Linked DNA regions of Alligator mississippiensis. The protein of the gene in region 3 purifies or fractionates together with the protein of the main gene of each other region. This does not show direct contact. Links are inferred from orthologs where the notes say so. Each region holds a gene or a part of one and is shown on either strand. Other genes may lie near its edges.

Region 1 (8,019 bases), on a different chromosome or scaffold from region 3:
AGTGTTCTCCAGTAGATTGATTTGTGACAAGGGAACCAAATGAATGAATGAAAAGCAAATTCCAAATGAGATTCAGGAGCTGAGGACAGAATCACCAGGGCAATTCACTACAGAAAAAGATTAACGGACCCTTATGGGCTAAAATCAAAAGCCAAGCTTCTCATGCTCAAATGCACCAAATTGTGGCAAGGAGAGTATTTTCACATCTGCACACTGCCATAGTGGGGAGAGATGTTACTGAGGTAGGAGTAATCTTACAGGTGGTGACAGAGCCTGAGCCTAGGACATAAGCTAAGCGTAGTCTTCAGCCAAGAATGTCATAGGTTCTTGATGTTGGAAAGGACCTTGTGCGGGCCGAGCCCCGATCCCATCCTCGTCACCATGTGTGGGCCGAGCCCCGATCCCATCCTCATCGCCATGTGTGGGCCGAGCCCCAATCCCACCTTTGTCGCCATGTGCGGCGGCAATTCCGATCTCATTCCCGTCGCCATGTGCAAGCCGGGGGTGAGCCGGGCCCGTCTTCATGCACGCGGGCTGTGGCCAGCAGCCCGGGCACGTGGGGTTGGAGAGAACCGGCGGCGCGGTTTGCTACACACGAGCTAGAATTAGTTACGGAGGCGTAATGGTTGATTGAAAAGATTGTTTACTTACACCCAAAGATGGTATTGGTGTAGGCTGGATAGGTTTCCAGGCACAGCTCCCGCTTAGATCCTCGCTAGAGGACCACGACAAATCGATTGCTCCCATGGAGTCATTCAAGCTCCGCGGGTCCGGTTCGAGGTTCGAAAAGTTCCCCGGAGTTGTTTAGGCTCCGCGGGTCCGAAGTTACAGGAAAGGGATACGTCTGGGATTGTGATTGGCAACGGGGAGAGGCTAGAAACGAAAGCTCTGTCGGTTCGGTTCTATTGCCTCTATTGCCTGCTTAGGGGAGGCGCGTTGGGTCCGCAAGGGTCCGCAGTGCTTGGAGATCTTCACACAGAATCTCTCTCGTCCTCCCTCCTCCAGCTTGGGTGGAAACTACCCAAGCCTTTTGTACGGCTAGCAAGCCAATTGCTAGCCGCCACATGTGCCTACATTAGGAATTGGCCAATAATGTGGCGCAAATCCGAATACAAATGGCGGGAACTCCTTTGCAGCGTGTATCACTATGTTGCAAAAGAAATGCACCCTGCAAAGAAGCTGTAATTTGGTGGGAAATCCCCTGTTGCACCAGAGTTCTCTCTCGCAGCAGAGAACTCTACCGTGCAAAGAAAGCGACAAATAGCGGGAAATAATTTAGTGGTGCCGAAGCGCGCACACAAACAAAAATCACAACTTTGGGTTGTGACAGACCTCAAGGGCTCTCTGGTACAGCAGCCCCCTGTATATGTGCAGAATGCACTGTTGTTAAACTACTGGAGACTGATGCCCATCCAGCTTCTTTGTCAAGGAAGGAGCTTCTACAGCTTGCTTGTGCAATTTAAAAATGGATACCTACAGTTAAGATTCACAGTCCCTTGACAGGCCCCCAAATGAAATGGAATGGCAGTGTTGCTAATGCTTGTGATTTTATCACAAATACTGCAATAGCTGGTGTTCGTCCTAAAGTCCAAGGTGATTATGTAAGAATCTCAGCTTTGTTATAGAAAGGGGGAGAAGAGTAAATTTCTAGCCTTCTTATTTCCAGAGAACAATCTTGACTGTGGAACCTAAGTTTAAAACCTTAAGGCAAACCTTAACAGGTTTTTAAAATCTCATGCTTCTGTGTGGCCCAAGTTATAATTTCTAAAAACTTGGGGAGGCAATAGTGCAACTATTGTTGAAAGTCACTTATTTGGGGGCCTCAATATGGACTTGTTTCAGGTGCCCATTTTGATAAATCTTGCCTTTTGATTGCAGTTGTTCAAAGTAAATAATGTGTATACAAAAGAGGTAGCAAAAGAAAACTATTGAGGCATTCAATAGCCTGGAACACTATAAGGCCTCCATCAGAAATTCTCAATCAGCATGCTATGGCATCCTGGAGAGCCACGCTGTTAAGGGTCCTGTGCAATATTAGTACTGTTAGGTGTACAACCACCTACTCACAATTTGCAAGATAAACTCAGAGATTTCAAATAGGAACCTGTAGTGAGAAAAACATTCTGACCTATTGTGGTCTTTTTGAGATCTTTTCAAAAGAAGAATTGCTCCAGTGCTTTGCCATTGTCAAAACATGAGTGAAAGCTAAGAACTGGCATTTTCCAAGGGGTGTTTTGAGGCCAAAAAGGTTGAAACCCACTGGCTTAAACTGTCCTACATCATAGTGATGTCTGCCAAAGTTTTGCTACCAAAATGCACCCACCAGGTCAAATCTGATGAGCTCTGAGAAAATAGTGGACTAATTTTAGCATTTTGTTTAAATGCAGGTTTTTTCTTCAAGTGCTCACACCAAATGACAGGATTAGTGATAAGATCACTGTAACACAACAAAATATGGTACATATGGATGAAGACCCAAAAAGACTGGACTAAAATCATCAAAGCCAACAACTATGACCTTCTGTGAAGAGCCTGCCTACTGTTTAATTCAGCATATACGCAGCACCAGACACTGACACAGCAAACACAGGTAACACACTCCTGAACTTGAAGAGCTCGGGATCCAGTCAAGTCAAGACAGATGCAGATAACAGGACCTAAAAGAAGAGCTCAGGAGGGCGGGTGAAAGAATCTTGGATGGAGAAAGGATTGTTACAGGTGTAATAATGCTCAGCATTTGTATAGCACTTTCAAACTGCTGCCTGGACATTTACTAATTGTCTTCACTGCAATAATCTCTGTGAAGTAGGTAAGTAAATATTATTTCCCTCATTTTACAGATGTCTTTGAGGCAGAAAGCCAAAGTGACTACCTGAGGCCAGGGAGCGGAGGGGAATGGGCTCATCTCCCACAGATCACAGGGCTTCAAGTATATTTCTGATCACAGCCCTCAATATTTAGCCATGCAGTGCAAACCCCAAGAGTGGACAGGTACAGGTGGACTTTTCCCCAATGAGGTAGGCCCCTGACTAGAACATAAGTGAGCTGCGGCCATGCAAATCCCAGCTCATAACTATTTACAGATCACAGGGCTTCAAGTATATTTCTGATCACAGCCCTCAATATTTAGCCATGCAGTGCAAACCCCAAGAGTGGACAGGTACAGGTGGACTTTTCCCCAATGAGGTAGGTCCCTGACTAGAACATAAGTGAGCTGCGGCCATGCAAATCCCAGCTCATAACTATTTACCATAGGGGCTTGGCTAGGGAGCTAATCACAAGAGCACACACAGCCTAATTCTATTGGGGCTGGTGGCAGGGTGCTTGCAGTGAAAGGCTCTAGAACCTGGGGTTCATTTCTCCCATTAGTTCAATAGAAGCTGTTCTGGCCTCTGTGGCTGTCCGTGGTGCCCATCAGTTTCTTTGCTTCTAGTAGATGCAGTTGGGTATGGTATCCACTCCAGCAAGTCTGAAAATCATCTCTGGGGTATCTCATGATGGACCCCTTACAGTCCACAGCCACGTCTGGAAATCTCACATGCCGTGTGCAGTGGTAGCGTGGTTACAGTGGGCAACTGGAAGTCAAAGCTCCTGGATACAGCTTTCGGACGCTGCTTGGCTGTGCAGCATGTGGCAAAGCATGAGCAGAAGAATTTCCAAGGGGTTCCAGTTGGGTGGTCTGCAGAGGCTTGGCTATCCAGCTGTGCATGCTCAGGAGCAAAGGGGATTTTCAAAGCAAAAGACAGGGAAAGCAAGACCTGCTCATCACTCAGCCCTTGAAGAGTGTTAGAAGTGGGTTGGGGAGCACCAGTTAGTTTTGAGATCACTTGCTGATTTGCATTGCAAAACCCTGGTGTCAACTGCTTATACATTTACAAGCTGTAACAAGAGTGATCAGCATCTCAAACATTATCTCAAGATATGAACACAAGGTGAGCAAATTTCAGGCGGTATGGAGAACTCCAGTGCTGGTATTTGCCTCACTTCTGAGCACCTAGCTTTTCAGTTTTAATAATAATCTTTGGATCTTGCAATTTGGTGTATAACTGAAGGTAGAGGAGGAAAGGACAGAGCAGTGAAGCTGGTTGCTGAAAATTGTCATGAAGCTGGATACACACAAGGAAGAAGACTGAGCTCTAATCCTCATTTGTATCCAAGATTAATGGGTTTTTGTAAACTGAGGTCTCTGTGACTGCCCTGGAAGAGTTAGTCAAACTGGAGAGGGCTGTTAGGGAAAGGCATTTATACTCCACTGTCCTATAAAGCAATTTGCAAATTGAACCTTTGTCTGGGCTCCTCTGCTTCGCAAGTGATGCAGTGCATGGATTAGCTGAAATAGATACTCCTAGCCTATATTATTCTTATCTGTATGGCTTGTGCCATGCAGGCGGTCAGAATGGATGATCTCAATGGCCCTGGTGCTCCTTGCCACCTGTGAATTGGTAGGCTGGGCTGTGTGTTCTCATAGCTTACAAGCTGTGTCCACATGTGGAGATACATGGTTTGGCAGCAGCATTACCACACGTGTGCCTTTCTTATCTTTTGGTGTTCTTGGCTGTAGCAAAGCAGAAATTTCCTCAAGCTGGAAGAATGTGGTTTTTGCCATTCACAACAAAGCTAGCAAAGCAGTTCTGTTCACATCCATTCAGGGCATGGGTGCGATATGATCTGCCAGCGCCTGCCTGTTTCATAATGACAGCGTGTTTCCATTGACTGCTGCTCTGTCTTGTTCATGTTTGAAGCTAAGAGTGGTTTAGTGGCTTTGTCATAGCAAGGTTTGTGTCATTGCTTCTCTGCCAATTTTATGTTTGGCTTAGATCTCCTGCTGCAAGCATTGGCTCCACAGAGGGTGATATTGAGCAAAGGGAGCCAGCTGTGGGCAGTTAGGCAGTATCTGTGTTCAGGTAACAAAGCAGACAGAGATCGGAGGACTCTTGCTATTTTTTTGTAGCATTGCTTTTTTCTTCCAGTGTCTCAGCAGGACTGTTGTCTCATTTTCTTCTCCTGTCTGCTATGAGGGAGCAGCCTCATTCATTTTATTTTCTGCATCCTGTCGTACTCACAAACCAGGCTCCCCTCCTCTTGTGGATGGTAAGGAACTTGTATCCTGCCAAGAGATGGAGCCCCTCTTCACTGCCCCTCTCCATGGGGAAGATCCTCTCTCTCCTCTTCCTCGTCATTCCCTAACAGCAGAAGGGAGAGACTCTCCTTCATTCCTTCTTCCTCACCGATGGCTGCCTTCTTTGCTTTTTCCCTCAGCTGTTGTGAGGATATGACTCCTCTTTCTTTTTCCCTCCTCCCCCAGCTAAGCAGAGTGGCTCTTTCCATCCCTTTCCTTCCTCTTCTGCATACTCTGATCGTTTTCCTCCAGGTCAGTCTTCCTCTGTCTGCAGTCGCCTCTGGTGCTCTCTGCTTTCCCACGCCAAAGTAAAACGTACCAGATTCAGTTCTGTGTTGCTGTCTGCTGTGGTCTGAGCACAGTGAAGCAGTCCAGAGCCTGCCAAGTCTCGTTGAGGAATGTGATGGGCTGCAGGAGCTGTGTTCCAGAGACGCTCAGTGAGTGTAAGGAGGGATGTAATTCTGCAGTTTCATCACTGCTTAGACTGCTGCAAGCAGCGGTAGGGGAAATGAATCAAGCCTGGTAGCCTTCGCTCTGCCGATGCCTGCACTCACCAAGGAAAAGCTCCAATTCATCGCTGGAGAATTCCTTTTTCAAGCCTTGCGTGTGCTGATGTTGGACCGTGGCTGCCCCTCTGCTGAGTCCTTCATCTTTCCTCAGGCCTGTGTTGAAACCTCTTTGTATGAAGACTGTGTCAGAAGGCAGGTAAAAGAAACTCTCTGCTTTCAGCTATAGCATTAGTCACCATGACTGTTAATTGCCCAATTCTGTGATTTCCTGCCAGCGCCCTGAAGTGGTGAGCACTGGTGACCTAAGGCTTGTAGCCCTATTCTCCACTCCTCTTGTTTCCCCTTTTGGCCTAAGAAGCTGGAGGAAACAGATTTTTTTAGATATCCGGTTAGTCTCCTCCTGGTATAAATCACAGCAACTTTAAGGCTGTTCTAGTTTATGCTCTGGCTCGAGGTCCTTTGTGGGCTTATCAGACTATCCCCAGCACACACCTGTTTGGGGACACAAAAGAAAGAAATAGAGCCATCCCAATGGGTCCATCCTGTCCAGGAGAATCCATTTACCTAGATGTGGTCTCTGGCCTAGTTTGTGGTGTGCTTACAGTACTTGGATGGGATAAAGAGGCCACAAACCAATCAAGAATTAAATCGTACATCTTTAAAGGATGGCATAGAATAATTCAGCCTTTATAATCACTCAACTAAACTCTCAAGAGACCCATGCAGACTTACCCTTTTAGGCTTCCTCTGAGTTAAGCCACCTTGTAGGATTATGCCCTTTCAGGGGGAATGCCAGAGTTGATGGTGGGATTGGGTCCCCTCCTACAGAGACTGTGAAAGGTATGTGGCATGGTTTCCCTGGCACACAGCTGGCAGAGCTGATGGCAATGTTGAGCAATGACAGTCTCCTTGGGCATAACTCAGTTCCTTTTGAAATGTTAGCAGGTTTGAAGTCTAAGCTGTATGTATACTTTACAATGGACTGATAAATCACTTCATGCTTAGAACACGACATGAGCTGATTTAGGTGACCATAACTAGTAGGGCAAAAATGACCATTATGTAAAATTCAGGCTCCCTCCAGCACTGTTTTTCTGCCCACTTTCTAGTAGGAAGGTGCTGCTTCATTTAAACTGTTTGCCATCATCACTAGCAAGGTTTTTGTACTAGGACTTTCATGTGCTGAATTTATGCTACTTAAATTAACATTTGGTGCACATGAACGCCGTGTGTCCTTGGAGGCTGGGGGAGCATGGCGAGCTTCTGCAGGCAGCTGCTGTGCTGTCAGGGCGGGAGGGTGGGAGGAGGCAGGGTTCGTGAGTGCGTCGTGAGTGTGGACTGGCAGTCAGCAACCACCTGCAGATGCCTCTGGCAGTGTTGGCAGCGAAGGAGGGGGTGGCAAGCAGCAACTGCCCGCAGGCGCCACTGGCAGTGTCAGCAGTGCCTTTTTTGCAGGGTGTGCACCGCCATGCTGAGGGGGTGCACATGCATCCATGTGCACCCCCTATGTGTCGCCAATGGTGCTGGAGCCTAACAATAGCTGGGCATGTCTACAGGTTGCTGTGCCTTAGTACTTTCAAAAGGAAGTTGTTTTAGAAGTACTAAAGCATGGCACAATACTGGCTGTTACTGCACTGTGCGCACACACAGGTAAGTTTCCCGGCTACGTCACCATAGTGGTGCACTATACTGGGGGAGCACACCACTACGGCGACATAGCTGGCTATCATGTGTAGACCCATGTGATTGCTACTATGGTGCTACGTCACCATAGGGCAACGTGTAGACTCGCTTATTGAGCCCCTGCTTCATTCATTAAAGGGAAGAGCAGTTGAGGGTGCCTCAGCATCTTTGCAGGATGGGGCCATAAGCATGCAGACGTTAGAAAATATCCACAAATAACAGACCAAGGAGCAATGGTCTCAAGTCGCAGCAAGGGAAGTTTAATTTAGATATTAGAAAAAACTTTCTCACTAGGAGAAGCAGTGGAACAGGTTACCCAGAGAGGTTGTGAAATCTCCATCCTTGGAGGTTTTTAAGACCTGGCTAGACAAAGCCTTGGCTGGGATGGGGATGGTCCTGCTTTGAGCAGGGGGTTGGACTAGATGCCCTCCTGCGATCCCTTCCAACCCTCATTTTCTATGATTCTGTGAAATACTTAGCTTTGCCAGATGGAGCTGATGCTAGAATGTCATTAGCACTACGGGGATCACAGAATTGTCTTTCTGCTTCCTATTTGTTACCAATAGGACAGGGGTGGGCAATTATTTTGGGTGGAGGGCTGCTTACTGAGTTTTGGCAAGCCATCGAGGGCCGCATGACAGGCAGCCAGGGGCAGATAAATATTAATTTTCTAAATTTTTCAGGGGCCCCGTGGGCTGGATAGAATGG
Region 2 (6,883 bases), on a different chromosome or scaffold from region 3:
GCCTTTTTAAGATTGGTGAGGTGGCAATCCTGGGCGTTCTCTTCAGTACAAATGCGGTGGTATCTGAGGGCTTGGCTGTATATCACAGCTTTTTTGATGTGTTTAGGGTGATTGCTGGTTCTGTGCAGATATGTATGTTGGTCTGTGGGTTTCCTGTATACTGTGGTCTGTATTTTACCCTTCTGGATACTGATCATTGTGTCTAAAAAGGAGATGTCGGTGCTGGAGTATTCTAAAGAAAGTCGGATGGAGGGATGGTGGCTGTTGAATTTCTGATGGAACTCCATCAGAGATTGCAGGTTCTCAGTCCAAATGATGAAGATGTCATGGATGTATCTTAAGTATAGCAAGGGTTTGATGGTGCAGTTCTTGAGGAAGTCTTCTTCCAGGTGGCTCATAAAAAGGTTGGCATACTGTGGGGCCATTTTAGTGCCCATAGCTGTTCCCATCATCTGGAGGAAGTGTTGATTATTAAAAGTGAAATTGTTGTGTGTGAGGATGAAGTGTATAAGGTCAGTAATATCTTTGGGTCTGTATTCTGAGTTGTAATCTTGTTCCTGTAGATATGTAAGGCAGGCTTAGATGCCATCCTGGTGTGGGATGTTGGTATATAGGCTGGTAGCGTCCATGGTGGCTAGGAGTGTGTTGCTGGGAAGGTGGTCTATCCTGCAGACACTTACATGCTTACCTTTACTAGCAGGAACAGCTCCCATGGTAGTAATATTAAGCATGTGCTTTAACTTGAGGATTGGGGCCTAAGTGCAAAGCACTTAATGCATGCCTTTGTAATATTAGGTATGCAAATATAAAGCCTAACAAAAATAACTCATTAACACAAAGTACAAGCACCAACCATTCACTTACTGAAGTTATTTACTGTAGCAATCCAGTTAAATATGCTTGTAAAATAGATGAAAAACAACCATTATGAACTACAATAAGAACTGGACTACATACCCAAGTAAGGAAATTAGCATCTCCTTTATATAACTGTGCATGCAGGAATAACTGGGTATCACACACTTGCTTACTCCTGTTTGGCTGGGAATGCTCAGAACACAGACCTTTGGTTCCTATACAGGCCAGCACCTTGTATGCAGCAGGGACATCATAGCCTGTTGCTGATAAAGCCCAGCAGCAAATTACTAATCCCGGAAACCAGGAAGAATTATGATCAGAGGAGTGTCTCTGTGAGTCACGTTGCTGCCCAAGGCTACTTTTGATAGTACTGTCTTAGTCAGAGTCATGTCTAAAAATCAAAGCTGTCTCAAAATTGGCATTAGGTTTAAGGTGTTTAACCTACCCTTACTATGATAAGGAGCTGCAAGTCTCAAGGCAGACAGCACTTAAGAAGCAACCCCTGCAATTTGTACAAATTCCTGTGCCACCAATGAAAATAAAACTCCGCAGCACAGTGTATATGTTGTCACTAGTGGAGGAAACAAAGTTCAGAGAACATAACATTACACACCCTGAAAGTAGTCAAGAAAGCAAGCAGATAAGACTGTGCTGCCTGTAATAACTTTGTTAAGACACGGAGCTGCACTTCAGCTCTAATCCTACAAAGAAGCTGCAAATGCGTAGATCCCAGGACCCACATGAAGTTTTTATGAAGTTAAGGGGTTATTACAGGGGTTTAGGTTCTTTATTCTCTGAGGATTGGGGCCTTGATCCCTTTTGAGATAACTGTAACAAAGAGAAATTCAGTAGTGCTTCACACTTTGCAAATGCTTCCCCATTTCAAAATGTTTCCCAGGGAGAAGAACGACAGGGACAGATCAGTTCTCCTTAAGAGTTTGTTCCTGTGAGAAATGTTCTCCTCTTCTGTGCTCTACAGAGCATCTTCCAGACAGCCTCAGGATCTTGTGGTTTTCAATTTGTCATACGTCCAAAAATAAAAAAAAGGGAACTTACTGAGCACAAGGTCTGAGACAAGGCTCTGACTAGGAGGTAGGAAATTAGTGTTTGAAGATCTTTTAAATGACAACAAACTGGCAGGGTTTTTGGTTGTAGCCATGTTGGTCTAAGAACATAGGCAGGCAAGGTGATCTCTTTTATTAGACCAACCAAACAGTTGGGGAAAAAAGTTCTTTGCAAGCTTTCGGGTACAAACACCCAGGGCAGGTAATAAAAGCTGTTGGAGCTCATTCCCTGCCATTCACTCTTTTATTGCATTCTCCCCAGGAGCATCACAGACACCGATTCTCCTCCTATTAATCCCTGGGGAGCTATTAACCCTGCAGCAGTTACTGCCCAAACTGCATCTCTCACCCAAACGTCTCTCCGGAGCGCCCCCTCCCCCGTTTCAAGCAGACCAAAAAAAGTGAACAAGCACCACAAAAAACCCCGAAGAGATGGGTCCCAAGACCGCAAACTTGGGGAATGACAAAAACCAAAGCCGCATGAACCAAATCATGCAGACCTTAGGCTGTCTCCCCACCCTGCGGCTCGACGCCAAATCAAAGTCCCAGTGAATATTTGTAGTGCAGACCTGGGGGCAAAAAGGATGGGGGGTCACAGAGGTATCACTGCAAAAAGAAGTCAAGAGGGAACAAATCAAACCTTGCTGAAGGGGGACAGAGGAAATTACATTATAATGCGGGGGGTGCAGGGGGCATCTGGACCTGGCGAGCAGGGGGAGAAGGAGACGTCCCCGAAGGGCTGAGGACGAGGGACTCGTGCGTAGTTCCTGGGGGCACGGGCCCGTGTTGGGGCAGGGGCAGGAGGAGGGAGACGGGGCCGAGAGCACGGGGGGGGGAGGAGGGGACTATGCCGGGATGGAGAGGGTGCCCAGGGGACGGCGCTCACTCACCGACCCCGTACTTCTCGCGCTTGGTGGGGATCCAGCGGGCCATGCCGGCGGCCCGGCCCGGCCCGGGGCAGCGCCTCAGCGCCCGTCTGCCCGCGGCGGCGTCGGTCGAGGCGCCCCGGGCTGCTCCGCCATGTTCGGGGCCGGCGCCGGGGCCCCGCTACTAACTCGCGGGACCAGGCAACTTTCCTGCCTCCCGCGGCCGCCCAGAACAGCAGCAGGAGGAGAAGGGAGAGGGAGGAGGAAGCGCCTCGCCCCGCCCCGCCCCGCCCCGCCTCGCCGGGGTTACCTTGGCTGCCCCGCCTACGAGGCGATTTGCTGCGGCCCAGCCCGACTCGCCTCGCCTCGCCTCGCCTCGCCTCACGTTTGGCGCCCCTGGGGGCGGCGGGCCTCCGAGTCGCCGTGCTCCGGTGCCTGCAGGGGGGCGGGGCGCAGCCACTGACACCGTCCGCGACGGCGCTCCCGGCCCCTGACCGCGCGGGTCGCCGGGCACCAGGCTGCCGCGTCCTCCACTCGGGACGTGGGCGAGCCAGGGGCGCAGGGCAGGGAGCCACCCGGGGCCCCACACGCGTGGTGGCAGCGCAGCCCCAGCCCCTTCCCGGAGGAGCGAGTGCCTTGTGCCATTGGCACGAGGGCCAGGGGTTGCCTCCCTTACTGTACACCTCGCCCCGCGGTTCAGGTCGGCGTGGCGCTGAGATGAGGATCTAAGAGTAGGCTGAGAGAAACCTCTTCAGTTATCCACACAGGAACCTAGCAGGAAACCCTATGAATAATCCCAATCCACTCATGGGGCTACCCACCATGGTTGAAATTTAACACAGGCATGTATGTTTGCAGGGCCCAGGCCTATTTTTTATACCTGCATTAGGAGATGATTCATATCTGTGAAGCATGAATGAAAGACTTTTTCTTCTCAGAAGTGTGTTTCTATTTTAGAGATCTTGTGCAGAGAGCTGCATGGCAGTACGCTCCTTTGTAGACTTATTATTATTGTTGCGGTTGTTATTTTTAAACTACGAATAGGAGCAAATAGACTGCATTTTGTTAGATTTGTTAGTGGGTTTTTTAAATCTATTCCAAGCCATCCTCACTATTTTATGCATGAAAACTCCCAGCGGTGCTTCTATTTTTAGATGCAAGTAATTATTGCTTATTCCAGCAGAAAATGGAAGACTATAAGTAATTTGAATGCATAAATTAAACAGTAGCCTAGGCAATATATTGTAGGAAACAACCCTGCACATTCTCGGAGGAATCATGAATGTGGGATCTTAGCAGGACTTTTCAGTTTCCAGTGTATCCGATCGATCATCAAAATCTTTCAGAGGATGGCTCCATTACTGTGATTCCATTTTTACTGCACACGTGTTGTTCTCCTCCTGCAAAGCAAACCGTTTCATCCACACTCTTTAGTTCTTTCAACAACAAAAAAACCTGGCAAACCCAAAAAAACAATTTTTGGTTAAAATATTCATACTTTCATACTTAAAATTGGACACCTAAAACTAGGATTCTCAAAAAGGATGAAGGGATTTATGCAATGATTAAGAGATTTAGGTACCTAAATCCCAAATGGAAGTCAATAGGGTTTGGGCACCTAACTCCCTTAGAATCTTGCAACTATCAGCTTACACCCATATTTAGGCTCCTACTTAAGTGGCCTGATTCTTAAAAGTACAAACTGTTCATAACTCCCTTGGAAGTCTAGGAGTTATGATTCCTCAGACTTTTGAAAATCCAGGCATACGTTTACTTACTTAAGCATGTGTAATTACCTACATTTTGAGCACATGAGTCTGCAAATGTTGGCACTAAACTTGTCTTCTTCAACCAGTTCTTCAAGGCACAGCCATCTGTCCCTCTGTGCAGGTATTTACTGCGATGGGATCATGATCTTGACTGAAGCCTCAAGGTGCTAGAGTAACAAAAATAACAATAAATACTACTTTGCCCCTTCTCCCATACCCCATTCTCCATGTGACAACAACACTTTTTCTGTAATAGCTATTTCCAGTACTAGTAATGTACACTTTGCTGTACAGTGTATTTTTCTTTAAGTATGCCTGGTCGTCTGGGCTAAGAATATGTGGTTTATGGGCTTGTCCCAGACATGGGAAGTTAGTCATTTTGTTGTGGGATGCACTGTAATGTTACACCCAAGTTTCTTCAGACCAGCCAGGCTGATTGCTAAGTTGATGACTTGAATTTGTTCCCAAAAGCTGCTCACAACTGGTTTCTGATGTCGTACTTCCATTCTTAGGAGCATAGGCATGAAAGGGAATTCCTGCATCAACTGCCCCAGTCCTCTGTTTCACTGCAGCCACGTTGTATAATCCCTTTGATAAACTGAGGGGGATTTGGGGGTGATATAAAGCTGGCATAGTCTGATCTGTGCCACTTGTTTTCCTCTCCCCTGGAAAGCAGCTGTACAGTCCTGAGCAAGACTAAGCATCTGTCCCACGGTTAGTCTTTTCGGAGTGTTCAGCTGTCATCAGTGCTTCAGGCTACACATTCTTGCCTTTGGTGTAATGACTTGAATTTGTGCAAACATTCACATTTAGTTTAAATACTCCTCCCTAGGACACGCCAATAACAGGAAATGTCTGCTTTTTTCTGAATGAGACGGGTCTGTTTCTTATCACACTGATTACACTTATCTTTGAGGTGATTTTCTATGATGTCAGAATACAGAAGGAAGTGATACAGCTTCAGAAATATCTTATGGACAACATTCAAGCTTGGAGGCAGAGTATTAAAAAAGATGGCACCCCTTAAGACATAAATGGTTAGATTCTCAATAGAGATGTAGACTCCAGGACCGTATCCACACAAGCGTGGACATTTGTTTCCCCAGGGAATGCCTGTGCCAGGAGCCCTCTGGGGTGTGGCAGGCTAACTTGGATGGAGGAGGGGAGGCTGGAGCCAGCAGCCCTACCTGGGGTCAACCCCCCTATGCTGCTACCTTGCAGCACAAAGAATAGTTGAATGTGCAGAATGTGGCGACGCACATGTTTGCAGCGCCACATACTGCATGGCAGCGCTCATTTGGACGCATTTGAATATGTGATCCTTATTTAGGTGCCTAATTGGGAGCTGGGTTTTTGTTTCTTTAACCTGGGCCTCAAATAAGTACAGTCAAAAGGCCTGAGGCTGAATCGATTCAATCTTTGCAGAGTAGTCTAAGCTGCATGAGGTTGAACCAATAAGGAAGTGAACCAACATTTACTTTTGATTCCAGAAATTCAGCCACATGTCTGGAGTGGCTCAGGCTAGAAGCTGAAGGCAACAGAGCACACATCCCTGCTCAGGTGAGATGGACAGCCTGGGCCAAGGCTAGCCTACCCATCCTGCAAGCTGGGGTTTGCAGGGGAAGTGCAAAGCATCCTGGGATGCTGGGGGACTGAGAGTTAACTTGAGTCTGGAGGGGATATGGGACAGAAGTTCAATAAAAGCATTTAACCGAAATCAGTTATGTCTGATACTACATCCATCCAGGTTTATCTTAACTGGATTCAGCCATTCTGAAAGTGGTTTATGTGCACTGAACTTCTGTTGTGTTACAGATTTAAACTGGTTTCCAATCACTTATACCAGTTTGTGTGTAATTTCTGTCCCTAGCCCAAAAGTACTGGGCTTTCAATCCTTTACTACTATATAGTTTTGTAGATGTGTGTGACAGTACTGAATTGACACAGTCCCTGTGTTGGTGTCATAAATATTGCAACAATTACAAATATTTCTGCAAAATGTTTATGGTTCTGCATTTTAGAAACGAGCTAGCTGAGCCTTGCTTCTCTTTTCCAGTCCAGGGCATGAACGTTCTTGGCATCAAATGAAAAGCAAAGCAAAACAAGACTGATGAACAAGCACTAACTAGAGGGGCTGGTTTTATTATTGTTGGAGGGAAAGTCAGTGAATGATTTATTAAAATGTAAGGATTTATCAGGTCAGTACTGCACAAGTAAACAATGTTAGGTACATTTCATCACTCAATATGGTTTCTATTTAGGCAAGTGACTGTGTTCATGTAGCAGCTTCTTACTCAATATTTTGTCTTCAGTAATATCTGCTACT
Region 3 (7,683 bases):
TCAATTTTTTAAACAAAAGATACAAAACCTATGAGTAAATATTTCCTGGAGGTACATCATTGCTCAAGGTGCTTGTGTAGTATAGGGGAAAACTCTGTTACAAAATGTAAAAACACAAGGTTCTTAGAAAAAAAAGATAGTGCAATGTTTCCAAGAACCATTTTGCTGATACCCTGAACTAGCAAGTTTCCTACCAAGCAAACAACTTTTTTCACAAGGTACAAGATGAAAAGACAGTCTTTGTAGAGATTTATTTAAATCTAACAAGCGCAAAGACACCACCTTTATTTTGATCTTCAGTACTTAAAAGAATTAGGTTTTTAGGTAACCACACTAATTAGCAATACTTGCCTAGGAGAGCAAGCTTTTGCTATGTAACATTCTTAATTGTTGGCAAAATGTCACTGAAGTTCAGGTATCCAGGCTACATACACACATACATATTTCTATTTAAATTATTATATAGCTGATGTCAGCTAAGGAAAGGAAAACAAAATCAGGAACATGTATCATACAATTTAAACTGCTCAGAAAGCTTTAGCTATGTACTACTCTTATCAGTACAGTGTATTGTTGGTAATATCTTGCACAACAAAAAACACATAGCAGCACAGGTAAACAACCTAATTAAGGAAGTGGGACTGCCAAACACCTTTGACAAACAAACTGAATCGGGAAAATAATTCAAAAGAAAAAATAAACCCAGTACAGTGAGAAAGTCTGTCTTGCGTAGGAAGTGGCTTGTGCTAGTCCTTTGCCACACTGCCCACTCTAAGTGAAGTTGCAAGTACTTATTTCAGATTAAGACTGGTACAGCAATTAAAGAGGCCATTTTACAGAGTATATTTTAACTCTCCAGGCAGACAGATAAGGTAAGATACACACACCCAAAATAAGAATACAGGTTACAAGAATGAAGGATTGACTAGAGAAGCAACTAAGATATCTCAGAAGAAACTGGTATGGTTCTTAACTCTCACATTCAGTTTAATGCATGGTGTTCACTTGTTTAAAAAAAAACAAACAAAAAACAATGGGAGGGGAAAAGAAGAAAGCACCAAGTGCACAACCTGGGTAACTTTTCATTTAATAGCACAGAGTTTAAATTTGAGACAGAATGCAAGTATTTGTAATGCACCAGCTCCTGCTGTCCACCATAAATCACAATTCCTATGACCCCTTTTCCTGAGATTTCACAAATACACAGGGGATGAAGACTATTTTGATATGGCTTCCATCAGTAAATGAGGGCTCTCTTGATTTAACTCTGCACTCTTGCTGTCCTGGAAAAAGAGAGGCAAGGGCAGAAAGAGAAGAACAGATAGCTTTGGAGGGTGGGAGTAACAGAAGAAAGAAAGGTTCAGTGGCAGTGAGGAGTGCATCCCGTGTTCCAATGAACAGCATAGGTTTTGTCATCTGGAAGACAAAAATAAGAGGGGCTGCAAACAAAGGAAGGCAGACTGAAAGAAGTCAATGTAGCAAGCCCATGCACTGGTCCGAGCTGCCTATGTAAGTGAGTACAGCATGTATAGCATGGTGCAAATTCAACTTGAAAACAAGTAAAAACAGGGACAGCCAGAATCAGAAATTATACCCCAACCTATCAACAATTCCGCAATTCTCATCCTTCATTTTGTACTTCCACTGGGCCAAATGTGGCTGGCTCAAAAACAAGTCAAGAAACAATCAACACCAGACTTTCAGCCTCTGGGGTGTTTCCCAATATTCAATATTCTTTGGCCAGGCCTTGTTAGGAACACGATCACCTTATCAGGGAACAACTGCTTTGGTTTTACCAAGACCGCTACTTTCTAGCTGCCACTTTCTTTCATACGGGAATGACTTTTTAAAATCTAATACAAGAGTTCTATTTCGGAATCTGCTACTATTGTGAAAGGCTTTAATGCAAGATGATGTCACCTTCTTAAGAGACGATAAAAAAATAACCCAAAGACCATTTGTTTTGGGCAAAGTATTGGATGCCAAGAAGTTAACTTAGGAGCAAGCGAATATGGGTAGCAATTTATTCATAAAAGAAAGGAGAAGTGTTTCCTAACCCTGATTTTCCAAACAGTATTCCCTGGCTCCAAATCAGCGGTCCTTAACCTTTTTAGACTCAAGGCACCCTTTGTCAGGCTCCAGGCGGCCCTTGGAAAATGCCAGCTCTTGGTTTTCACTCCATTTTTGACTATGGGGAAAACACTAGAGCAATTCTTCTGTTGCAATGAACACAGAAAGATCACATCAGGTCAAGATGGGGGGGGGGGGGGGGAGTTGTTTTTTTAAGGCTGTGGCTTCTTATTCAGAGTCCCCAGGTTTATCACACGAATCGCGTTTATCACACAAGCACATAAGCATCTATACACTATTATAAACGTAATGGCTTACATCAGAAAAAGGGGAACGTGCGGGGTGGAGAGAGGGAGGAACGACACCTCGGTGCTTCTCAACCCTTTCACACCCAAAGCAGTCCCCAGAAGAGGAGTTTCGCTCTTGTTTGGACTGCAGGACGAGAGGCCTCGGAGAGCCCGCAGCAGGGCAAAGCGTGGGTCACCCACTGGGATGCGGGTCTGAAGTCTGGGCACGGTTGACTCGTGTTTGCACAGCTAACGGGGCTGAACCCAAGGGGCCCCCGAAGTGCGGAGCCGGAGACCCCGTCGCCCTGCCTGTGCACGCCCCGGCCCGGCCCGGCCCAGCTCAGCCCGGCCCACCCCCCAGGCCTCTGCTCAGGTGCCACCTCCCGGTCCCGCGAGGCGAGGAGCGGAGCTCCACCAGGACGCGCGGCACAAAGGCCCCCCCCGGCCCCGGGGCGCAGCGCCCGGCCCCACCCGTGGAGCGGCCCCGCGCTGCCCCCAGGTCCTGTCCCGGCCCGCCCGGCCCGGCCCGGCCCGCCCTCACCGTGTGGCGCTGGAGCTCCGCTCCGCTCCGAGCGGCCCCGTGACGCTGCCTCTCCCGGCTGCCCCTCCCGCCGCCGCCGCCGCCTGGCTTCCGCTACCGCCAAGTCTCGCGAGAAGCACCGCCCGACAGGCCTCGCGCTGTCAGGGCCGCGCGCCCCGCCCACGCGCATGCGTAGTCTGAGCCCCCAGGGAGTGTGCGCCGGGCGCAGGCGCGGCCTCGCCAGTCGGCTCCTGACACTGCCAGTGCGCATGCGTGGGACCGAGCGGGTTGGCACAGGGGGCTTTATGGTGGGTTTAGTCGCCTGAAGCGTCCTTCGTCTGCGGGCACGAGGGATGTCCAGGGTGGGCTGGGGAGGCGGGTGCAGGTGTCATTTGAGCATGCTCAGGGAGGAGGGATGAAAAGAGAAAGGGAGGAGCCTTCCTGAGAACACTGCTCACATGAGAAGCTGAGAAATGGGTGCAAACCGACAGCTGAAACACATCTAGGTTGTGAAAGCCCTGGAGGACCAACTTGATTTGGTGAAGCAGGGGAAGCTTGTAGCTGTGGATAGAGAGCTCTGGGCAAGTCCCTGCCCTTTTTCCTCCTCTCTTTTTCTAGCCAGGTCCCAGGAATGCTCAGAAGATTAAATAGTTAATATAGGTGCAATGCTTTGAATCCTGAAAGTGCTACATACGCATTAAGGGCTCTGAATAATAATGCCCCAGGTGCCTCGAGCTGGGCATCCAAACTTAGTGGATGCTTTTACGTCTGTGTAATTACAGACTGTTTGCTTATGTGTGTGCGCAGAGGGGAGAATTAAGGTTTCGTGAGCAACTGTAATTCTAGTATTTCCTTTTTTGAGAGCGAGCTTGGCTCTGACCCCCCTGACATTCCTTTAACTATTCTTAAAAGTAATTACAATATAATCTCAAGTGGTTTCCTAGGTAAACATCTGGCTCTGATTCCTTGATGAAGCCAAGGCCTATTTAAAGAGTAACTCTTAATCTTGCTTTCCAATAAGAAGGCTGATTTCAAAAATAGAAGCTTTTTCTATGGCTACCCACCCACTCCCAGGATTCTGGTGCCTAAAGGATGTCACAGCCCACAGGCTCTTATCAGTTGGCTTCTTGGGGGTAGTTATTAACGACAGGCCAATTATAGAGGACTTTTTAGCCATGTCAGGTCTGTGAATGTGGAGTGTAGGAAGCGTATATATTGTGTTAATTAGAGATGAGACTCAGTTGCAAAGTTCAGATCTAGGCTTACCCAGATAGTCTGTATATAAGAGGTGACTCAGGCCTGTCACTCATGGGAATTGCAAAGCATTTTAATTTATTGCCATGTAAAGCAGTGTTCAACTTCCTGCCCACTGGATCCAGACCAGGACCGGTCCACAATTTTTGGGCCCCCCTGCAAAATATAGTTTTGGGGTCCCCGATGCAAAGAAGCCAGCGTCAGCAGGGGAAGGGGTGGCAAGCGGCCGAAGAAGCCAGGGGTGGCCAGATGCAGGGGGCCCCTCGGCTGCTGGGCCCCCTGTGGAAGCAGGTTTTGCAGGATAGGACGGGCCAGCCCTGGTCCAGACATTTGGTGCTGGGGGAGCATTCTGGACCCCATCTGCAGGATCCAGACCAGGGGCAAATTTCCATGTCTGGTCTGCAGGGCCAAAAGTTTGAGCATCATTCGTCTGAAATCACTTATTCTTAATTTATAACGAGACTGAACAACAGTGGCCATTTATATCAATAGGTCAGTTAGCCTCTCCATGACCATTGTAGGAAAAAAAAATCTATGCAGCAGGAGCAGCCCTGTATCAAAATATATTTCTTAAAGACATGATGATTCCACTAATGCAGGGGTCAGCAACCTTTGGCATGCATGGCACGCAAGGCCATTTTGCTCAGCACACCACTGCCAGCCTGGGCTCTAAGCAGCTGCTGTCAGCCACGGAGCCCAGGCTGCTCCCAGCAGGTGGCTGGGAGGCTGCAAGCCCTGCTGCAAGCAGAATGGGCTCCATGGGCCGGCTGCAGCTGGGAGGCTGTAAATAGCTGCTCCAGGCTCCAGCATGTTGGCACTTCAGCACCTTCCAAGGTAGACATTGTGTTTTTTTCAGCACTCTGGTCAAAAAACATTGCCTACCCCTCCACTAATGGCTCATGCAGGGTTCTCCCCTGATTCGGGCATTTGTAAAGATCTGGTTTGCTAATGTGTCAGCTCTAAGTGTCAGAACCGTTGGATACATTTTCTTTTCTAAAGCTGTTTGGAAATTAAGTTTTCTACCTTCCATTATCAGCAAGATAATTTCCTGCACATAATAACACTATGCTTCACAGGTTTTACTTTCGTCTTGGTTGGGGTAAGATTCACACCCTCCCACTACTACACATGCTGTTTCACCTCTGAATTATTCAAAAATCGAGTGAGGGTGGGAGAAAAGAGTGTTAAGGGGGCTGAGGATGTTGGAAATGATGCAGTAATTATCATCTATTCTACATATGGCAGACAAAGAAGTTAAGTGACGCATCCAAGATCCCATAGTGACTCAGTGCCAGCATGAGAAATAGAATTCAAGACCCCGAGGTCTCAGTCCCCAGGGCTAGCCACTGCAGCAGACACTAGGGTCTCTGGTTTTGTGTATTCAGAGGGACAATTTGGGAATTCTTAAGAAACCACATGAGAAGGGCCATATCAGTTTAAGCAAAGGAAAAAGTATATAGCAGGTACTTACTAGCTGGTCTGGAAAAAAAGATAGATATAGACAACAGCTGTCAGTTGTAAAATAGCTGCTTTAAAGTTGCAGCTGCTTGACTGACTTTGCTTATTTGAAACTGCCTTTTAAAGTCACCATACTGGGAAATAAATCTTATATGAGAGAGCAAACCTTTTGATGAGTTGTTTGGGAGCAAAGAGTTTATAGAAGTTACTGGGGTGTTATTATTACGGACTAATTAAATACATATCTTTAGGCTGTATACAAATCAATTAATGTTTAACAAAATAACTATGTATTTTCTTAGAAATATGGTGGGATGAAAGTCCTGCTATCATAGAAATTTAAATCCTGATACACAACTTTAGCAGGGATTTAAAAAAAAAGGCTACAAAGAGTCTGTGTTTTGAGTCTGAGGATTGATTTCAAATCCTTATTGTAGTGTATGAATAGTTTGAATTTTCTTTGGCCATTTGTGGTTGTAAAGTGAAATCTAAGATTAGTTCCAACTATTTTAAGCAGTGGCAAGTGAGTAAAATTTTTCTAGTGTCTGACATTTCCTTTTGGGCCCCTTTTTAAATGTCCTGGAGCAGTCTGAAGTATGAAATTCAATGTGTGGTTCTTTGCTATGAATAGGTTGGAAGACGACTTGCAACATATTTTGTATGAACAGCTATTGAAGGTTTAAAATGTCTGCTTTGAATGTTTGTATCTACACAATGTTACTGATCAAAGTCAAAACTGTTATTAATGCCATAAAATGTAACAGTGGCGTAGGATTTATATTGATACAGTATGACTGAAGACACAAGCCACTGTGAGAGTACTCATGCAATCTTGACACCACGTTTGCCCTGATCTCGCTAAATGTCTGAGAAATGCTTCTGAGTACCACACTTCAAAAGATAACAATTGCAGACCAGTGTAGCCCAGTGTGGCTTTGACCCTCGCTAGGCGCTAGGCCACAGATTGTGATTTGTGTCTGCTGCGATCTTTGAACTTGTTCTTCAGCTCAGGTAATAGAAGCTAATGATTTTACATGCAGTTACCGTACAATGTAATGCAATGATTCTGGTCACTTGGATGACAACTGATGCAGTGTCTTCTATACTATGAGTCAGAACGCCTACTCTTTGTGATTGAGAAAGTGAGAATTTCTAGCATTGCAGCAAGTAAAGACTTAGCTTAGGGCCTTTCTTAATACACCCATTTTTTGGGTGAGTTTCCACAGCATACCGTAGGAGACAGCCAGTAGATGCCCCCCCAAGTTTTGCCACTGCTTCAGTGCTGCAAGTGCAATAAATATACTTCCTTGGAGCACTGATATGACAGGTTAAAACTAACTAGGAAAACATTCAGGCTCCATGTTTCTTCTCTTTCAAAATAATGGAGAAGTGACCTCTTGCTCCCTTGTGTTGAGATATGGCAACTTGTAAAACTTCAAAGACTGTTGGAAGCTAGTCCAGGAGTGTCAGCGCTTGAACGAGAGCCCAGAAACCTCCACCCTAAACAGAACAGCAACTAGGATTTTTTTGCCTGCCATTGCTGTGAAAAGTATTGCAATTAAAATTAGTTGTGGTCAGAAATATATAATTTTATTATGTATACACCCTTATATATAATATTTATAGTCTATATTATAGTATATAATACAGTATAGTGTATATAACATTTTTCTGCCTCTGATTAATATTTACACTCTCTATAGCCAAACACAAGGTTTTAGGCCCATGGATCTGTTTTGGTTATGAAAGAGCAAACTAATCTGTTCTACCTCTTGTACTATCAGCAAAATTCTTGACAAGGTTGTTGCGGCAGAGTTTTTACTGGCAGTGATGAAAGAAGCAGAAAGCTCCCATAGGGGTTGTCTGATCCTTCAGGTAGAACATGTGAGGCTGCAGTCAGAGCAGTCCTAGTCTGATTTTAAAACTAAGCAAAACTGTTCTGGAAATAGCCATTTAGGAAAATGGATTTTGAACCCCTTATATGTCACTGATATTTGTTAGATAGTGTCTGTGTGTCCATCTCAGGCCAGGAGATTATATCTCCATTTCTGAATTTAACAATCTGAATGGAAATATCACAATCTAAACACTAGG
Region 4 (7,091 bases), on a different chromosome or scaffold from region 3:
CACATTTTTCATACCTTAACTCATTTTCTGTTTTGAGAAGCTGCCAGGGTCAGTTCAGAAGTTTCACGTTAAAAATATTTTGTACCAGTTTCCACTGAGGGAGAATCACTTCCAGTTTCAAATAATGGCAATTTTACTGTTTCTCTTCTGAAAACTTCCTGTCAAAATCTACCTGTGCTTTACATTTTTGTGGTGTAATGTTATTTTGGGGGGGGGGGGGGGGGGAGAGAAATCAAAGGACATTGGCCAATCTATCAAAAAGAAGCCATATATAACTTTCTAAATGTAACTTGGGTGTACACAGGTTTGTACTCCCCTCTCCAATTGGAGGGAATTATTGGCAGGGCAGGGTGCTGTGGAGGGACACAGGAGACTAGTGGCCGCCTCTGTCCCCTATGGAGTCAGACCCAGTCAAATCAATTACTTAACAAATTTGTATATAGTTATTACAATAAAACCATTAAGGGTAAGGACATATGTTTGTAACCCGGGCGGTACTCCAAGATGTACCCCCTCTCCAATTGAAGGGATCAGAGCAGGTGCACAAGCATTGTGGGAGGTGTAGGGATCCTCCTTCCCCTATAGAGCAAAGCCAGATTACCAATGGGGACTTAACCATATACCTTTTAATGAGAAAAACAGTAGTGGGAACATAACATGTGTAAACCAGGGGGTATAGGGAACACTACAACACCCCGAGGGGGCAGGATTCAATAGAAGTTAGGCACTTACAATCCTAGACATATTCTTCCAGTTGACAAAAAGACAGGTTTAACAAAATATAAAAACGCAAACAGCAGAACAAACAATACTGGTTGGCAAAATATAAGAGGCACAAGATACAAAATGACAAACAACAAGAAATATAGGGGCTAGGTACCTGGAGGGGGGGGGGGGGGGGGAAAGAGGGAAAACACAATGACCCCCTTCCACTGCAACAAGAATTTCTCCCTGTCATTTCACCTCATTTATCCTAACTAGGACTTGAACTCAGAGCTCTCACATACTATGCAGAAACTCTACCACACAGCCACCAGTGCTAGTATTGCTGCAAACTGCTGGGGGTTTTGACTTTCCAAGAGCCCCTGCCTCACATCAAGCTTTCTTGCCTCTTGCTGGAGAAGCTGGAAGCAAAGCTGGGAACCTCTCAAGTCACTACTCAGCTTCTTGCTGGAGCTGGGAAACCTCTCCTGCTGGCCACAGCCTCTCATAGGGGGATCCTAGAGCCCAGTGGGGAGCCTCTCCTGCCAGCTACACACCGTGCCTCTGAGGGTCCAACTGCTGCCTGCAGGTCCCACTCCTTCAGGTGCTTCTGGGGCAACTGCTCCTGCCCCGCTAGCCCAGCTCTTGCCAGCTCTTTGAAACTCCTTCCTCCTGTTCCCTTGCTGGTCTCCAAGTCGGCTGCACTGCCCCTTTTATCCCCCTCCAGGTGACCCGAGGGGCCAAATCAGGGGACATGGAAGGTGAATCTCTGGGGCCCGATTGATGAGGAAAGGGAATCCAAAGCCCTCCAATCATCTTTTACCCTTTCAAAACCCCTGGGCCAAATCATTACCAGGTAGCCCATCACATGTACACATTTACAAAACAATTAACCTTATACCATATACACACATTATTCAAAAATACAAGTGAACAACAGAACAACCCAGAACAAAGGATATTGATTGGGCAACTTTATAACTCTATTAATATACAAACTATTACTTCAACTTATTCACATAAACTACAAGGCACAGGCTACATATATAACAAGCAACCCTTAGACTACCTGGGTGCCCTCCAGGGCAGGGGCCCCACTCCCAAGGTATCACTACAGGAAAGGAGATGGAAGGAAAGAAAAGGAGAGGGAGACCCCAAAGACTCCTAAGCTCCCCCTGCTATCATCCAGGAGCAGCCCGTGAGGTGGCCCTTCACAACCCTGGGGGTCCCTCCCCTGTGGGAACCCTCTCTCCAGGGTTACTTACTACTCCACAGTCCCGGAGGGTTGCCTCCTGTTCTCCAGGTTGAGCTCTGTTCCTGCTGGGTTTTCCTGCCGCCTGACTACTGTCACTGGCCTGGCTTAGGGCCACATGCACTGCTGTGTGTAGCGGGCGCTTTACCTCATACTAGGGGTTGGAGGCCTGGGCAGCCTTGTGCAGCACCAGGGCTTGGTCTGCTCCTGGACCATCTGTGCAGCGTTGTCTGCACTTAGCTCCCAGTCTCATGTGGAGTTTGAGGACCTGAGCTGCTCAAGTGGCTCCAAAGATCCTGCTCCATACCCCAGCCTGTGCACCATCTCTGGCTGCACGCCAAAGGTTGCAGACCCGAGCCACTTCATGCAGCTGCCAGGATCTGGATGCCGTGCTGCGCCCCGAGAACCTAACCACTGGAGCCATCTGCAGCTCCCGGCTGATAGAAGTTTTCAGGGGCTACTGCTATACCCTGCTGAGCAGCTCTCCTCAGCTCTTCTAAGCCCCGCCCTTCTCTGTCCCTAATGCATCTCCCCCCTGCTGGAGGCACAGCTCCTTTTATACCCTCCAGGGCTCTGCCCCTGAAGTCTTCTGAGCCTGACAGTGTTGCAGTCTCCAATCAGGTCCAGGGGAGCTCTTCTCTCCCTCCCATCAGGAAAGGCATGTGACTTCACTTCTCTTACTGCCTCCTGATTGGTGGATGGGCTCCACCAATCAAAACAGCAGGATCTCAAACCTGGGACTCAGCCCAAGCTCTGAAAGGTAAGCCTGCTACATAAATTTTAAATATATATATATTTTTTTATCAAGACAAGTGAATACAGCTGACCGGCTTTAACTGCATAGACCAATGCCTGATGCATAGACTTAGAGGCCTGATGCCTTTGAGGATGTAGGTTGTAGCTATGTTGGTTTAAGGACATAGGCAGACAAGGTTCTTAATCTTTGGGTAAATGTGATATCTTTTATTAGACCAACTAAACAGTTGGAAAAATTAATTGACCTGCCCTCCTCACTCCAGACCTGCTTTAGAAGCCTGGCAGCAGCCAGCTTCAAGACGATGCAGTTCAGAGGAGCACAGGGATGTTAGAGTGGAGGTAGCAGGCCCAGGAGATACCTGATGCTTGTGGTGGTCTGAGTGGTTTTGGCAGTTCTCATGATATTGAGCAAGTCAGGGGTGAAGGGAAGCACTAGGCTCTCAGTAATTCTCTGGCCCTCCTGGCTGTAGAGCAACATGCTCCTTTGGGACTCAGCTTCCCCCTCAAGGCTGAGATGTGAAGCCTTGAAGGCAAAGCAAACAAGCCTAAAAATCACATGCACACGCTTGCACGCCTCTGCAGACTTCGAAAGAAGCCCCCAAAGTGGAAGAAAAGCCTCACTTCCCCTCTGTCCTCAGAAACACAGGCCCCCTCCCCTTGTCCCCCAGCCCCCCCACCTGCTTTCCCTACTGTCCCCAGGTGCAGGGCCAGATTAATCCTTTACTGGGCCCTAGGCAAACAAATGTGTGGGTCCCAAGCTGGTTGAGACCCCCTTCCCCACCCTGGTGCTGCTGCCACGGGGAGTGGGTGGGGCTCAGCTGCTGTGGGGAGGCTGGCAGAGGGGAGGGGGAGGGAAGGGAAGGGAGGAGAGGTGGACAGGGCCACCACCTTGGAGGGAAGGGCCAGTCCCCCTCAGCTCAGGGCTCTAGGTCCGTGCCTAGTTTGCCTGTGTGTTAATCCAGCCCTGCCCAGGTGGGGAAAGCTTCAGAGCTGCTCCTTCCCCGTCCAGGAGGACTTGTGTGGGGCTGGGCTAAGACGAAGAGAGAGACGGGGGCGGACGCCTCTGAGCGAGGCAGGGGGACGCTCATCTGCTTCGGGAACTTTACAACGGCGTAGGGCTCGTGCCCGCAGGGCAGGACAGGGCTGCAGCTGGGGGCGCACCCCCTTTGCCAAATTCTGCATCCGCCCCTGCTGCGGGGGGCGGGTCTTCTCCAGGACTCCTGGATGCCCCACGGGGCTTCTATCACTCGCAGGCGCCACGTCCCCGCCCCAGGCAGCCTCCGGCAGCCGGGACAACACGGGGGGCGTGGCAGGGGCGTGTCCCGGTCGCCCCGCCCCGCCCCGCCCCGCCCCCGGGGTGCGGCGCGCACTGCGCAGGCGTGCGGCGCAGACCGTTACCTGGCGGCGGCGCGGGGATGGAGGGGCTGATCGGGCTAGTGAACCGGCTGCAGGACGCCTTCGCGGCGCTGGGCCAGAGCTGCCTGCTCGATCTGCCGCAGATCGCCGTGGTGGGCGGGCAGAGCGCCGGCAAGAGCTCCGTGCTCGAGAACTGCGTCTCCAGGTGAGGGCGAGGGCGGCTTCGCCGCTGCTGCTGCTCGGAGCCCCCGCCCCGCCCCGCCCCGCCCCGCAGCGCCCGGCACCTTTGGGCGGCTGCGGCTTGTCCAAGGGCAGGCGTGCGGGCAACGGGTGTGTGCGTGTGTATGCCAGAGGGTGTGTGTGCATGCGCGTGTGTCAAAGGGGGTGGGGGATATCGAAGGGGGATGTGTGTGTGTGCGTGTGTGTGTGTGAAGGAGGGGGTGTGTTGAAGGGTGTGTGCGTGCGCATACATGTGTTTCAAGCCTCCCAGTTAATGCAGGTTTGTTGCCAGGCTGCAGAGGAGGAGGCTGCCCGCCGCGACCAGGGATGCTCCATCACCCCCGTAAACAACCCCCTCTCCTCCTCTTCTCCCACCCCCTGTTTTTGGTAGTGGTGGGTCCCCTCCACACAGGTGTTGAGCAGCATCCTGGGTTTCCAGTGTGGCTGGTGTAGCAGAGAGATTCAAGCAGTGAGTGGAGGGTGGTTGGGTTTTGGGTTGTTTTTTTTTTTGCTGTGGCAGCTAAGACAGATGTTGGGGACCAGATGTGTAGTGTTCCAGTGACACCAGCGACTTCATGGATAAAGTCTGAGGCTGGGCTGTGACTTTGCTTTCTCGTGTGGTTTCCACTGCACATGCAGGAGGGTGGCATCGCCTTTCCCTTTCCTTCCTTCTGAGAAGCAGACAGGGCTCCTGTCTCACTAAAGTGCTTAGTAATGGGGATTCCATTGGATGTTGGGAAATGTGACAGTGCTGCTACATTCATCAAGGGTATGTCTTGTATTCAAAGAGGCTGACATCTCTTTGGAAGGCGGATATAACATGCAGCTCTGCTAAGCTGTTTGCTCAAAATGTGTATGGAGAGCACACTTTTTAACATGCCCTGGGAAAACTAGCATTGTTTACAGGATATCAATACCATTTTATGCTAGGATGGTTTGCAGTAATCTCTCTGGGGAAATATAACAGTGGAAGAGCTGACTGTAAATATCACCAAGGTTTCTGTTTTTTGCTGATTAATTGATTGGACTTAAAAGTGATCCAACTACTGTGGCTTGGCTGGATTGAGCTCCTTGATAGCAATTGCAGTAGACAGCACTTTGCAACAAATACAGTGGTGGCTTTATACTACAGCAGTCTGAATTCATAGAAATGTTGAATAGAATTTCTCTGCTCCATTCTTTGCACTTAGGCAGGATCAGTTCCTTACGCATTTTTTTTTTTTTTTTTTTTTTGCTTTTAATTTTTTCAAATTTTCAGCAGAGATGGTGTACCTGTGCAAGTAGAAAAACCCTCTGTCTGCCTCTAATGCACTTGTATGACAATTACAGTAGGGTCATCTTTCATCAATTGGAAATTAAGATATTTTGGTCTCCACAGCAGGGGCTGCTGCTAGAGGACCCAAGGGGCTTTGAGCTTTATTAGGTTAGGCCAGAGATGAGCAAAATGGTGGATCCGGCTGGTGGCCAGACTCCATTTCCCAGCAGCTCCTGTCTGTGTCGCAGCTAGTTTCCATGAAGACCCCAGGAATAGCGGGGCTGTGACACTGCGGGGCCAGGGTTTCCATGGAGACTGGCCCCAGCAGCACTGTCAGGACACACGGCTGGAGGGGGAGCTGCTCCGGGGCAGGGGTTGGGATGTTGCAGTGATGAAACATGGTCCAGAGATGGGGCAGAGCCATGATCTGCTGCCTGCACACCCCTGCCGTGCGCCCTGCCAGCACTTCTGCGTCCAGTCTCCATGGAAACCCTGGTCTTTCACTATCATGGCTCTGCTGCTCCTGGGGTCTCGAGGGAAACCCACTTCAGCAATGCAGGCAGGGGCTTCTGGGAAATAAGAGTCCACTGTGAGCTGGATCTGGCCTGTGGACTGGACTTTGCCCGCTGCTGGGTTAGGTGCTTCACAGATGCAGTGTAAGAGAGAGTCCTTGCCTCAAAGAGCTTGCAGCATAGCGCAAAACACAGCAGTGAATTGGATGTGGGAGTCAGACTTCTCATACCCTTGTCAGAGAGGAGCTAACTCAGTAACTTGGAGATGGGAACAATTTTTGAAGCACAGGTCAGCAGGAATTAAATTGCTTTACCTGCAGATCAGCCATCTATAGCTACTATAATTTGGGTGTCTCTGGGCAGTGCTGTTCCCAAAAATGTTAAAAAGAGACTTTTTAAGAATGAGAGTTTCCTTTCTGGGAGTACGACATTTATTTAGTCAAGTTCTGAGGTTTTGGAGCTGATGCAAGTAGGTTCTTACACTCTGGATATACAGGCAAAAGCTCTTACACCTTGTTAAAATGCCAGCTGTTATTAAGTGAAATAGGTAAAATCTTAACATACATACATGAGTAGAGCACATTCTCATTGCAATCTCACTTATGTTTTGCTCTGTATAGAATTATTTCAGTTATTATTCTACTCTTAATGTGTTTTTTCTTTCTTTTTTTCATTCTTATGGGTCATCAACAGATTTTGAACCCACAACCTTTGTCTCCAGGTACCATTTCCAATTCAGTTCTATAGCTGTAACAAGTGGCTGGAAAGCATCTTGTTATCCTGTGTGGAGGAGGCCCTGCAGGGGAAATGCAACATACACATCACATTACCAGTAGATCACATAAGTATTGGTGGGAAAAAGATTTAACTTTAGACATTGGGATACTTGTTTATTCATCCTGGTACTGGGCATATGTTATGATATAGTGTTTACAGAAGGCAGAAACAAAGAGAAGAAAGCATCTATTTCAGGCATTTCTGGGACTGAATGAGGGATCAGTGGACGTAAAAGTGAGTTTCCACCACTTGGCCAAAGGAA

The links.
Region 1: the proteins of GRB2 (region 3) and ARHGEF5 purify together in Homo sapiens (affinity purification with mass spectrometry; 4 studies listed by BioGRID and IntAct, with this or other methods). This does not show direct contact. The link is inferred for Alligator mississippiensis from reciprocal best matches to the Homo sapiens genes GRB2 and ARHGEF5.
Region 2: the proteins of GRB2 (region 3) and DOCK5 purify together in Homo sapiens (co-immunoprecipitation; 4 studies listed by BioGRID and IntAct, counting the BioPlex papers as one, with this or other methods). This does not show direct contact. The link is inferred for Alligator mississippiensis from reciprocal best matches to the Homo sapiens genes GRB2 and DOCK5.
Region 4: the proteins of GRB2 (region 3) and DNM3 purify together in Homo sapiens (affinity purification with mass spectrometry; 5 studies listed by BioGRID and IntAct, counting the BioPlex papers as one, with this or other methods). This does not show direct contact. The link is inferred for Alligator mississippiensis from reciprocal best matches to the Homo sapiens genes GRB2 and DNM3.

Annotation. Positions count from the first base shown.
Region 1 is NC_081827.1:140,187,536-140,195,554, forward strand, and holds the start of ARHGEF5 (rho guanine nucleotide exchange factor 5), read left to right. Parts: upstream 1-5,015; 5' UTR 5,016-5,659; coding exon 5,660-5,824; intron 5,825-8,019. UniProt on the Homo sapiens protein: Guanine nucleotide exchange factor which activates Rho GTPases. Strongly activates RHOA. Also strongly activates RHOB, weakly activates RHOC and RHOG and shows no effect on RHOD, RHOV, RHOQ or RAC1.
Region 2 is NC_081830.1:22,943,905-22,950,787, reverse strand, and holds the start of DOCK5 (dedicator of cytokinesis protein 5), read right to left. Parts: upstream 3,005-6,883; 5' UTR 2,856-3,004; coding exon 2,813-2,855; intron 1-2,812. UniProt on the Homo sapiens protein: Guanine nucleotide exchange factor (GEF) for Rho and Rac. GEF proteins activate small GTPases by exchanging bound GDP for free GTP. Along with DOCK1, mediates CRK/CRKL regulation of epithelial and endothelial cell spreading and migration on type IV collagen.
Region 3 is NC_081831.1:12,480,658-12,488,340, forward strand, and holds the start of GRB2 (growth factor receptor-bound protein 2), read right to left. Parts: upstream 3,010-7,683; 5' UTR 2,899-3,009; intron 1-2,898. UniProt on the Homo sapiens protein: Non-enzymatic adapter protein that plays a pivotal role in precisely regulated signaling cascades from cell surface receptors to cellular responses, including signaling transduction and gene expression.
Region 4 is NC_081828.1:44,901,559-44,908,649, reverse strand, and holds the start of DNM3 (dynamin-3), read left to right. Parts: upstream 1-4,087; 5' UTR 4,088-4,125; coding exon 4,126-4,271; intron 4,272-7,091. UniProt on the Homo sapiens protein: Microtubule-associated force-producing protein involved in producing microtubule bundles and able to bind and hydrolyze GTP. Most probably involved in vesicular trafficking processes, in particular endocytosis.